3 linked regions of the Coturnix japonica genome follow. The protein of the gene in region 3 interacts with the protein of the main gene of each other region in a pairwise test. Links are inferred from orthologs where the notes say so. Each region holds a gene or a part of one and is shown on either strand. Other genes may lie near its edges. The genes, in order: TPD52L2, SYNGR3 and SH3GLB1.

The links.
Region 1: the proteins of SH3GLB1 (region 3) and TPD52L2 interact in binary tests that used the Homo sapiens proteins (3 or more experiments, as listed by UniProt). The two-hybrid records come from large-scale screens. The link is inferred for Coturnix japonica from reciprocal best matches to the Homo sapiens genes SH3GLB1 and TPD52L2.
Region 2: the proteins of SH3GLB1 (region 3) and SYNGR3 interact in binary tests that used the Homo sapiens proteins (3 or more experiments, as listed by UniProt). The link is inferred for Coturnix japonica from reciprocal best matches to the Homo sapiens genes SH3GLB1 and SYNGR3.

Annotation. Positions count from the first base shown.
Region 1 is NC_029535.1:8,588,715-8,592,460, forward strand, and holds the start of TPD52L2 (tumor protein D54), read right to left. Parts: upstream 2,464-3,746; 5' UTR 2,353-2,463; coding exon 2,334-2,352; intron 1,939-2,333; coding exon 1,793-1,938; intron 854-1,792; coding exon 705-853; intron 1-704.
Region 2 is NC_029529.1:6,135,614-6,139,359, forward strand, and holds the start of SYNGR3 (synaptogyrin-3), read left to right. Parts: upstream 1-1,448; 5' UTR 1,449-1,663; coding exon 1,664-1,762; intron 1,763-3,746. UniProt on the Homo sapiens protein: May play a role in regulated exocytosis. May indirectly regulate the activity of the plasma membrane dopamine transporter SLC6A3 and thereby regulate dopamine transport back from the synaptic cleft into the presynaptic terminal.
Region 3 is NC_029523.1:13,928,841-13,932,586, forward strand, and holds the start of SH3GLB1 (endophilin-B1), read right to left. Parts: upstream 2,832-3,746; 5' UTR 2,630-2,831; coding exon 2,558-2,629; intron 2,228-2,557; exon of another isoform or gene 2,206-2,227; intron 2,134-2,205; exon of another isoform or gene 2,112-2,133; intron 1,111-2,111; exon of another isoform or gene 1,096-1,110; coding exon of another isoform or gene 1,015-1,095; intron 1-1,014. UniProt on the Homo sapiens protein: May be required for normal outer mitochondrial membrane dynamics. Required for coatomer-mediated retrograde transport in certain cells. May recruit other proteins to membranes with high curvature. May promote membrane fusion.

The sequences.
Region 1 (3,746 bases), on a different chromosome or scaffold from region 3:
ACAGGAGGGAAGACGAGGAAAAGAATGAACAGTGAAACAAAGAGCTCAAAGACCCACCCTGCAGATGAAACGTCAGTAACACCAAATTCAATTTAAGTTGCATGTTACTTTTTAGACTGAATTATATCCCTCTGGGTACCCCAAGGGCCCTTTACATTTGGCAGCTGTGCTCAGATTTACCCCGACTCTCCTTTTGACACTGTCAAACAGTGCAGCAACCATACGCTTTGTACCTGTGTAGTTTTCATTTCAAACCTTCTTTAGGCACAGATATCTCTGCATATGACATTCCTAGCAGACTAATGCTACAGATAGCATTCTCAACTAACACTATGCACTACTAAGTGAACTCCAGCATTTTTTTCACTTCTCTTTGAGCTTGGGCTCAGAATGAGGTAGCAGCAGTCTGTGTCTCAAAGAAATGGGCAGAAACAGACAAAATGAACTGTTAACTAGTGATCAAGGTCTTTAACATCGAGCAAGGGAGCATCCAGCAATGATGCATTCATACCACTGATATGAAAGCTGTTTATGCTGACACATGGCATCCATTCAATTCATTGCATTTTAGAAACATCTTTTACTCTACATACTTATCAGAGCAAAACCCTCCAGCCAGTTGGAAAAGCTCTGGGATGTGCTAAAGGGAAATAAATGCTACAGTCACTATTTCATGTGAAACACACATAACAAGCAACACTTACGCGTTGGAGACTTGTACGTCATGCCAGCTCTTAGACAGGTTTTGCTTCAACCCATCCAAGGGAGTCAAACCTAGCTTCCTCTTCAGCTCTCCACAGTGCCTCTCTTTAGCAGCCAGAACTTGTCTGAGAGTACCAATTTCTTCTTCCACCTTAGAAAGAGACAGATGCGGATCTCAATATCACGGTTTGCTAAGATTCTGGGAATGTATAAAAAGCCCCTGGACCAGTGTTTTAATAGCACTAAAAGAACTCATTCCCCACACTGTAATTTCAACAGTAGACCCATCTAAAAAAGTAAATCAATTACCAAAAGCTCTTTTAGCTAAGGATTCAATCTTATGATTGTTTTCTTCTGCTGTCATTAGAACAAAGAGCTCAGAGATCTTTCTTACTCTGGAGTGGTTTCAGGGCAAAGAGAATTCATTCCTACTTAATTAATCACAGTTTACCAAGACCTGAACAGCCACTCAGAACAGCAAAGTCCTCCCTTGCCAAAACATGCAAGTGAGAGAACCAGCATGAGATTATCAAGTATAAGAAAGAACAATCAACACTACCATCAGCTACATTACACATACAAATTATAAACTGAACTTTAAAGCCCAGAGGGCGCCTAAAATTTGAGGTATGACATTACAGGCTCTCAGCTTTGGAAAAGCATAAATGGAGCTAAAAGAGCCGCCTATGAAACGTGATAAATATTTAAGAGAAAAGGCTGATGATGAAAGCACATTAAGTACCTCATTGTTTCAGCTTCCTAAGGAGAAAGGAGCTATGTTTGCATACAGCTCACCTAAAGTGGTGTTTTCCTGCTTGGAGCAGAGCTAAAAGCCTTGATTAAGCCACTTATTTCTTTAAGGCTCCACATGAAGCAGTTCTGTGGATGATCAGGCAATAACACACACGGTCTGAAATACCTGCCAGCACACCCTGCTCCTACAGCACCCACCAAACCCTCGTTTTTTCCCTCCCATCATCTAGTAAAGGTGTATGTTTGGTGGCCCTGCCAGGCAGGGGGGTTGGAACTACATGATCCTTGAGGTCCCTTCCAACCCGGGTCATTCTGTGTGATTCAGGAGTAGTTTTACCTTGGCGATCTCAGCCCTCAGCTCCTCCTCCTCAGCAGCACTCAGTCCCTCGGGCGCTGCCGTCCTCGCAGCAGCCGCGTTATCCACGGGAACATCCATCATGGCATCGGACAGCAGCCCTTTGTTGGGAGAGTTAAGGCTGATATCTGTCAAAACAAGAAGCACAGAGCACATATAGCAAACAGCCAACAAACGAAACACGATATGCAAAACCCAGAGGGGAAAAGTGAAGAAAAGGACCCTTTGCTCACAGGAAAAAGGAACAAAAACCCTCAGCTGAATTTCCCAAGCCAACGTTGAACAGAAAATAGCGAGGCCTGAGGGAGGGAACAGCAGCACCTCAGCACCAGCCCGGGGGGGCCTCATAGGGGGGACCTCACAGCTGAGGCCTCACAACCTGCCCCTCACACTGAGCCCTCACCTCCTGCCCCCCACAGCCGAGGTCCCACCTCCTGCCCCTCACGGAGCTCCCCCTGTCCTCCAAGAACCCCCCGTCCCTCCTCTCGTCCCCCGACCCCGCAGCCCGTCCATCCATCCCTACCCTGACTCGCACTCTCCATGGCGGCGCTTCGGCCCCGTTCAGCCACCGCCTCCACCCCTGTGACGCAATCACCCCGCGACGCCCTCCTTCTTCCGGGAGGGAATGCGCAGGTAGATGACGTCACGTATCGCATCAATATGGCTGCAGCGCCTCGCCGCGGCCTACGCCTTCCGACAGTGTGACGTCATCGAGGAGGAGGTGACATGACGTCATGGGGGCGGGGGTGAAGTGACGTCATGGGGGCGGAGGGCTCGGAGCGGTGCTGTGCTGTACGGGAGGCTGGAGGGAAGGGGGCAGCAGCGGCACGGCATTGGGATGGCCTGGCCTTGGCCTGGTGCGGCCCGGCCCTAACCCCAACCCGAGCTCCTGTGGCTCCACGCCATTCCTTGGGCCCTGCCGCTGTCACTCCAGTGCCCCTCAGCCCCTTTGAACCAATTAAACACGGGGTCACATCTCTGGATAGGTTGGATGTTAGGGGGAAGTTCTTCACTAGGAGAGTGGTCAGGGCCTGGAACAGGCTGCACAGGGAGGTTGTGGATGCCCCGTCCTTGGAGGTGTTCAAGGCCAGGTTGGACGGGGCCCTGGGCAACCTGATCTATGGGGTCTATGGGGTCTCTATGGGGATCTATGGGGTCTATGGGGTCTCTATGGGGTTCTATGGGGTCTCCTGGGCAACCTGATCTAGTAAAGGTGTATGTTTGGTGGCCCTGCCAGGCAGGGGGGTTGGAACTACATGATCCTTGAGGTCACTTTCAACCCGGGTCATTCTGTGATTCTGTGGATGCTTCTCAACCCCACTATGGGGCTTTCTGCAGGGAGCAGCCTGCCTGCTGTGAGTGGCTGTGAAATAGGGAAGCGATAACAGGGACAGCACACAGCCAGCACTCCGTGCAGCACACAGCTCTTCACATTCTGCTTTTATTGGCTGTGGGGATGAAGGGGCTGATGGTGGGTTTGGAGCCGAAACGCCCCAGCAGTGATAGTGTGCGTTGTGGTGTCACTTGGGGAAGCCCTCAGCCAGGGACTACAGAAGCCCTGGGTAGCTCGGATTGGCACAGATCAGCATGGCATGGCACAGCATGGTACAGATCTGAATTGAATGGCAAACCTTGGCACAAATCAACATGTCATGGCACACCTTGGCATTGCTAGGCCTGGCAAAGCTTGGCACACATCAGCAAGGCATGGCACAGCTTGGCATGGCACCCCTTGGCACACATCAGCATGGCATGGCACCCCTTGGCATTGCTTGGCATTGCTAGGCATGGCACAGCTTGGCATTGCACAGCATGGCTCAGCTTTCCACACATCAGCATGGCATGGCACAGCTTGGTATGGCACTGCTTGGCACGGCAAACCTTTGCACGTATCAGCATGTCATGGCACAGTTTGGCACAGGGCAGCCGTGGCTTT
Region 2 (3,746 bases), on a different chromosome or scaffold from region 3:
TGGCAGTCCTTTGCTTTTTGCAGCCTTTTGCACAATGAGGGATTAGCACTCCTGCTCCACCCATACCCCATGTGATCCAACAGCAACAGCACAGGTCCCCCTACAGGGACAGCGAGCTGCATGGATCTGGGGGGAGGTGGTGATGGAGCACCTGCAGCCCCCAGCTTTGCCTGCAGGCCTGCTCAGTGCCAGCCGTGCATGCGTACTGCTCCCTGCGCCTTCCCTGCAGTTCCTGTCCGAAGCAGAGATGATGTCAGAGTTGTCATGGTATCGGTATCTATGGAACCAGGATCATCGTCACGGTGCTACGAAAGCTAAGGAGCCAGGTCCTGGAGCTGTGGGGGGAAACTCCCTTTGTAATAATTGAGGGTTTCCCTCTGCAGGCTTTCTGTCCTTTCTATCCTTCGTCTTTTCCCTGGGGAAGGGATGGGTCTTGGCCTCATCCTGTCCCATGACTCTGGTTGTTTCCCTTCCCACTCAAGCAAAGTGGGAGCTCCATCTGTCTTTGCTTCCTACCACTTTGCACCAGGTCTGTGTGGTGATGTGGCCCCATTTGTGCTTGAGGTCACAGCACCTCTGCTCCAGCAGCATGGGTTGCCCTGGCTATACACCTCAATTTGGTGTGGTGGCCGTAGCTGTAGTAAGGTGTCCCAGCTGCAATGTGGTTGCTTCTGCAGGCTGGCCGTGTTCCGAGAGGTGACCTCAGCCACAGCACAGTGACTGCAGCTGCACCATGGGGACTCCAGCAGCAGCAACACATGTTCCACAGCTATAGCACTGCTGCTCAGTAATGATGGTTGCAGCACAATGTCCCAAGTTACAGCATAGTGTCCCATTGTAGTGTTTTCATCATGGCTGTAGCACGGTGCCCATGGCTGCAGCATGGCCATTGCGTGGTGTTCCTGGCTATAACATGGTGTTCACAGTCATTGCATAGTGCTCGTGGTCATTGCATGGTATCCCTGGCTGTAGCATCACACTTACAGTCATCGCATGGTGTCTCTTGACTGTGGTATGATGTTTTTGGTCATTGCATGGTGCCAATTGCTATTGCATGGTATCCCTGGCTGTATCATGATGCTCATGGCCATTGCACGATGTCCCTGGCTGTATCATGATGCTCATGACCATTGCATGTTGTCCCTGTCTGTATCATGATGCTCATGGCCATTGCATGGTGTCCTTGGCTGTGGCATGATGCTCATGGCCATTGCATGGTATCCCTGTCTGTATCATGATGCTCATGGCCATTGCATGATGTCTCTGGCTGTATCATGATGCTCATGGCCATTGCATGCTGTCCCTGTCTGTATCATGATGCTCATGGCCATCTCGTGCTGTCTGTGGTCATTGCACGGTGTTCCCGTTTGCAGCACGTTGTCCGTGGCCATGGCACTCAGTGCCAGCACGGCGCAGTGATCTCGACCTCCCCCGATGTGAGGTGGTCTCGTTGCGGTTCTCATCACTCCGGTCTCGTTCACCTGCCGCTGCCCCCCCCCACGCCGCGGGTGGTTCTTCCCTCTGCCCGCGCGCGGCGCTGCGGACGAACCCACGCGAAAGGCTCGCGGGGGGGTGGGCGGACAGGCGCGCGGCCGGCGCGGGGAGCGCGCACGGCTCGGCTCGGCTCGGAGCGGCGCTGGAGCGGAGCGGGCGGTGGGGGAAGATGGAAGGATCGTCCTTCGGAGCGGGCCGGGCCGGCGGTGCCGTCGATCCTGTGGATTTCCTTAAGCAGCCGCAAACCATCCTCCGGGCGACGGCTTGGGTGGGTAAGGCGAGGCGGGCAGCGTGCGGTGACCGGGCACAGAGCGATGCCCGTGCGGTCTGCGGTACCCGGGTATTGTGCACGCTTATGCGGTGTGCGGTGGCCGTGCGGTGTGCAGCCGGCAGCGCTTTGGTTGCTGGCTCCCGTGGGAAGTTCCGTGGGGACGGGCACGGTGCAGCGGGTGGATGATGCCGTAGCCCTGCAGTGCTTTTATCCCTGGTGCTTGAGTGTGAGAGAGCAGGGTGCAGCACAGAAGCAGAGGACATTTTCTTCCCATCCATACTCTCTGTGTGCATGTGTGAGAGAGAAGAAATCTTACAGCCAGCCCTGGCTCCCCCCTGTTCATCCAGATGGATGTCATATTTGCTGGTCCTTTCTCATATGTGAGTTCTGCTGTGCAGTAAGGAACAAGAGGTGGGATCTGTGCTGCAGCCACTCGGTGAAGTCTTTACCCGTTGCTGCTCTCATGAATAAGCAGCCAGAGAGCTGTGCTGCCAGGCTGCAGTGTCCAGCTCTCGCCTGCTACGATTAGCAAGCATGCATGGCCAAGGGAGCTCTGCAATGCCCCAAACCCCAAGTGTGGAGTCTCAACCCTGCTGCTGCAGGCTCTGGTTCTCAGAGCTGGGCCCTGGGGGCTCATCCTCACTTGTGCATGGGGGCCATGGCTGCTGGCTCTGTGTCACCTTCAGCAGTGCCACATGCATGCAGGAAGGGGAGGTTTGAGGGAAGGGGCTGCCCCTCTAGCTGCTGTCAGGCAGTGTGCAAGGGGACCCTGGGGTGACTGAACAACATAACATGGGAACATGCACTTATCTTCAAGCACATGAGCAGTTCCAGCTGCAATCACATGCTCGAAGTTCAGCCACATGCTTAATTGTTTGGCTGGATTGGAGCCAGTCAACCTGCCAGGGCTTTCAGAAAGCCCTTAGCTCCATTAGTGAAGGAAAGTGAAGATTATGGATATGGAGCATCCTGGTGTGGGGTGGCATTTGTGAGGCTCCTGCTGGCAGGCGTTTCCTAGAAGCATCATTTCAATCTGGAGGACTTGGTTGGGACCCAGTGGAATCCTCCACATGGCAAACCATTGGCAACGTGTTGGTTTGGGCATGGTCAGATAAATCAGTGGCCAACAGGTGTTGAGTTGGATTCCCTTTAAAAAGATCTGCCAGCACCCAGCCAGAGAGCTCACCCTCCTTGGACTAGGGGGCAATAGGAACAGCATATGGGAGATGAATTAAAAATCCCAGCTTAGAAGATATTTGTTGGCTGTTCAGTAGAGAAGTCATTCATTTTGTGGGTCTGAGTTCAGAAAACTGGGCATGTACAACAACAGAATGGATCAATTCTAAGCAGGTGGAGGGGTCCATTGGCTTTCACGAACATGACATGCACACGGTTTGCAGCGCACTGTCAGATTCAGTAAGGCCTAGAAAGTACATGCTGAAACCATGTGGATGTTTCCCTTGCCTCACATGTGCTGGAAGATGCTGTGGACCCACTCCCTTGCAGATGCAGCACAGGGGTGTGGAGTCCCCATGCTGTGATGCTGTGACCCAGCTGTTTGCCACTGGCTGCTCTCCAGCATGAGCAGGGATGTGGCTGGTGTGAGCTGGGCATTTGGGGCCAGTTCCGTTCTGCCTGATGCATGGCCACTGTTCTTGCAGCTTTTGCAAAGCAAAGTGTGCCAAGGCTCTTTTTAGCTTTAGTGCTCGTGCCAGATCAAACCCACGGCCTGTTTTAAGATGGAGAGCTTGGACGGAGGCGGCAGGCGATGCACTACAAAGCAGCATCTGTCTAAGATCTTGCTGCCTTTCTGTTCCACCCTGATGCTTCCCTTTGCCAGGCTGGGATGTGCAGCACAGCCCCACAGCCACTACAGCGCTTCCATTACTTGCTTTGTAATGCCCACCTTTGCTGGCCTGCCCATAACCACAGCCTGTGGGCTTGTTCAGAAACCCCTTGAGCTGGGTGTAGGTGTTGGGGC
Region 3 (3,746 bases):
GTCTAGGACAGCAACTGTTTACTCACATTACTTTCACATGATATTATCCAGACATCCTTAAGAAAACTTACAGATTTAACCTTAGATTAAGTTCAACAACACACCTTCACTACCAGCAAAACAGGGGAGAAGTGTATTAATCACTTCAAGACAACATAATTTCACTTGACATTAAATTTATGCCAACACTTACTAATTCATAACCAGTTTGAAATTCACTATAAGGTCTCCAGGAAAGACAGAAGATGTGTTTTATGTCAGGAAACAAAACAAAACTGGAACTAAGGGTTTGGCCTGCCTCTCTTCAAACAATTGGTTCCTCAGGATGACCTCATCCCTTCACAGCCTGTTCAAAGTCAGGCATATTCAGAAATACTTGGTTAAGAACTACATCCCTAACGAGCTTACCAATTAAGAATGGAAGAGCACCAAAGGATTCCAACTATCAAAATCATTCTTAACAAGCTCTTAGTTGGAATACTTAAACTTACAATAAAAAACAAGAATACAATACAAATAAAACTGAGTTGTCCAAGTTTAGAATAAAAACAACTTTGATAGCACACACATCTGAAGGCTAGATAAATACTATTTATCTATATAAATACTAGTATTTATCTAGGCACCTTTGTGAAAAAGCTCAATCACAGTATAGGAAGACATAGAATTTATGGACCTGCTACTACTATTGTTTAAAAGGCTCTTTAAAACAATAATATGTACTGCAAATAGCTCTCAAAAGCTTTTTAAGATTCATTAACAGACAAGAAAAACAGCTTTGATTCTTGTCTAGTTACGTAGCATTGTATTCGTTTATGAAATGACAATTCCAATTAATATTTCCAAAACTCTTCTCCATAGTGTGGAGACAGCTTAGTGCATGGTAGACTTCATGTACCCACTTGGAGGAAAAAAAGATTAAAAATACAGAGCAACATGGCAAAGAACAGTTTGACAGAAATATGGCTTCCAGCACCAATAAAACGCATCAGTGCTGCCCCTCTGATTTCCCACCTGTTTCCACAGCTTGCTTGAATGTGCCCAGATCACGATGAAGGAAATAGTACTCTTTTGTATACAACACCATACATACATATACAACTCTCCTCCTCAAACATCTTATTTTAGGAGGAGGTGGCAGTCGGTAGAGCCTATTACTATTATCCCCATTAATTTCAGTTCAGATGAAGAAGCCTATCAATGGAGCTATTCAGATCTAAACTAGTAACACAGACAGATCATACTGGAGCAAACCACAGTTTATACCACCTTTAGGCCATGATGGAAAGCCTACATTACATTTAACACACAAAAAAGCATTTACATGGAAAAAGTCAAGATAAAAGATAAAAGTCAAAAGATCCTACCACAGGATCTTACAATGAAGGGTGAGCTGCATCTCCTTCCCCCCTTCCCCTCCCCCTTGTCTTGCAAGAAAAGCTAAAGCTGGAAAGAAATAGATGGTCTGAGAAACATACAGCCCTGAAAGAAGCCAGAAAAACAAACAAACAAAAACCAAACAAACAAACAAAAAAACAAACCCAACAAATGCACTTGGAAAGACCTCCAATGCACAGAAAAGCCACAATTACTATGTGAAGGTAATTTAAGTTTAAGCAACAATGTTTTCTGATGAGTTTGCATCTTTGTTGCTCTGCTGTAACACTGATCGCTGGTTCTGCTTGAATATTGAGATACAGGCCAATAGTTGAGCTGATCTGAGCAGATAACCACTTCAGTCATGTTCCAAACCTGACCCAAGGAGAGAGCACAAGAAATGACTGCGAATTGCTGTGCTCCGTTTTGGATACCCACCTCCCTACAGGAAATCTGTTCAGGTTTGATTATATAAAGAAAGAGGATTACACCTCAAGATAACGGCAGAGGAACAAAAGCCAATTACAGCTCCCTTAACATAAGGGAAAAGACAGATCGAGAAACAACGGGCCGACAAACGAGTCTAAAAGCGACACCACGGCAGCGAACAAAACAACACTAAAGCAGACAGATGCTTTCACGTGTCACGTCAGAGCTCAAGTTCCACCGGTCGGGCAGCAGGACGCGTTCAGAGCGGCCAGTGAAGACACCGGCTTCCTCCACAGGAGTCACACCTTTGTTCTGCTCTAACAGCAGGAGCAGCCCCATCTTCCCCCCAGCTGCCGCTGCCCAGCCCGGCCGCCCCCTCCGCTCTCGGCCTACGCTGACCTTGCGCTGCCCCGCCCGCCGAGCCCAGCTGTTGTGCAACGGGCCGCGGAAAAACGCCCGGACCCAGACACACAGACAGACGGTCAGACAGACTGTCAGACAGACAGACAGACGGTCAGATGGCCGACCGGGCACAGGGGGGCGCGGGGGCACCGCTGGTCCCCAGGCAGCGCGGCCTGGCACTGCCCGCGGCGCGCACAGCCTGCCCGGGGCGGAACCGCGATCCCCGGCCAACGCCCCGCGCCGGGCCGACCCACGGCGGCCTCAAGGACCGGCCTCAAGGACCGGCCCGCGGCCTCGCCCGCTTCCCGACAGCCGGGGCCGCCGCGTCGAAGCTCGGTCGCGGCCGTACCTGCACGGCGCGGCTGAGAAAAGTGCCCGCGTCGGCCGCCAGTTTCTTCATGTTAAAGTCCATGATATTCATCTTCGGCGGGGGCGGGAGGGCGCTGACTCAGCCCCGACACCCGCAGCGGCGACGGCCGCTCCGGCCCGTCCCTGTGGGGATCCGCCGGGGGGCGGTGCCGGGGCCCGACGCAGCCACCGATTGGACGCGGCCGCGGCGTCAGGCGCAGGGCCCGGATCGGCAGCGCGAGTGACGGCGGATGGTCGCCTCGAGCCGCCGTGAGGGAGGGGACGGGCTGCTGTCCCTCATCATGGCCCAAGAAGGGAGAGCTTTGATGTGGGCTGTTAGGAAGCAGATTCACAATGCGTTGTTCTTGTAGCAATGGGTTAAGATTGCCACCTTAGAAGTGATCCTGGTCCCTCAGTCGGGTCACTGACCACACAACCCACACAGCAAGTAACCCTGGGCCGTGTCTGTTTAAGGCTGGAGGAAATCCCAGGGTATGACGGCAGGAAGTGAGCTCCAGAACAAGGAAATAACTGGAAGGATCAACACAATCTTTCTTACGTGCTGGTCAAATTCCAGGAACTAAAACCCAAACATTGCCCAAGCTGTGCAAAAGTATTGTTAAGGAGAGGGCCTGAATGCTGCTGTGTGTGTGTTAGCTCTTGTGTCACTTACATAACAGACACGCACTTGTGGAACTGTTTATATGTAAAAACTTTGTGGCAAACATGTTTCCAAGGTATACTGGCATAATAAGCTCTAGTGAGTCTCTGTTCTTCAAAGAGATGACACAGCGCTACAGATTTAAAATGTGGAGATACAAAGGCAGTTATTGAATTCCAGATCTTTCGTTGGTGTTGTCAGCAGTTGCAGTGGTGGAGATGTTCCACAAGGTGCCAAACAGCAGAGAGCAGCAGTGCCTGATACTGAGGCAGAAGCACCACCTCAGGGAGATGTACCCCAGGGAAGTCTAGGTTGAACACTGTGTATAATCTGGAATTCATAACAGTTGGCATGGCTCAGCTCAGACCAGAACAAAATGCAGCTGGATCTTGAACATTGAACTCTATAGCTGCCCACGAGCTTCACCTATCAGAGAGGAAATTGTTGCCTTGGACCTCAGCCCTTTCCTTCTGAAAATGCTCTCTTTTTGAGCATTACTTGGATAGAAGTGGAGGAAGAGTCCCATCCT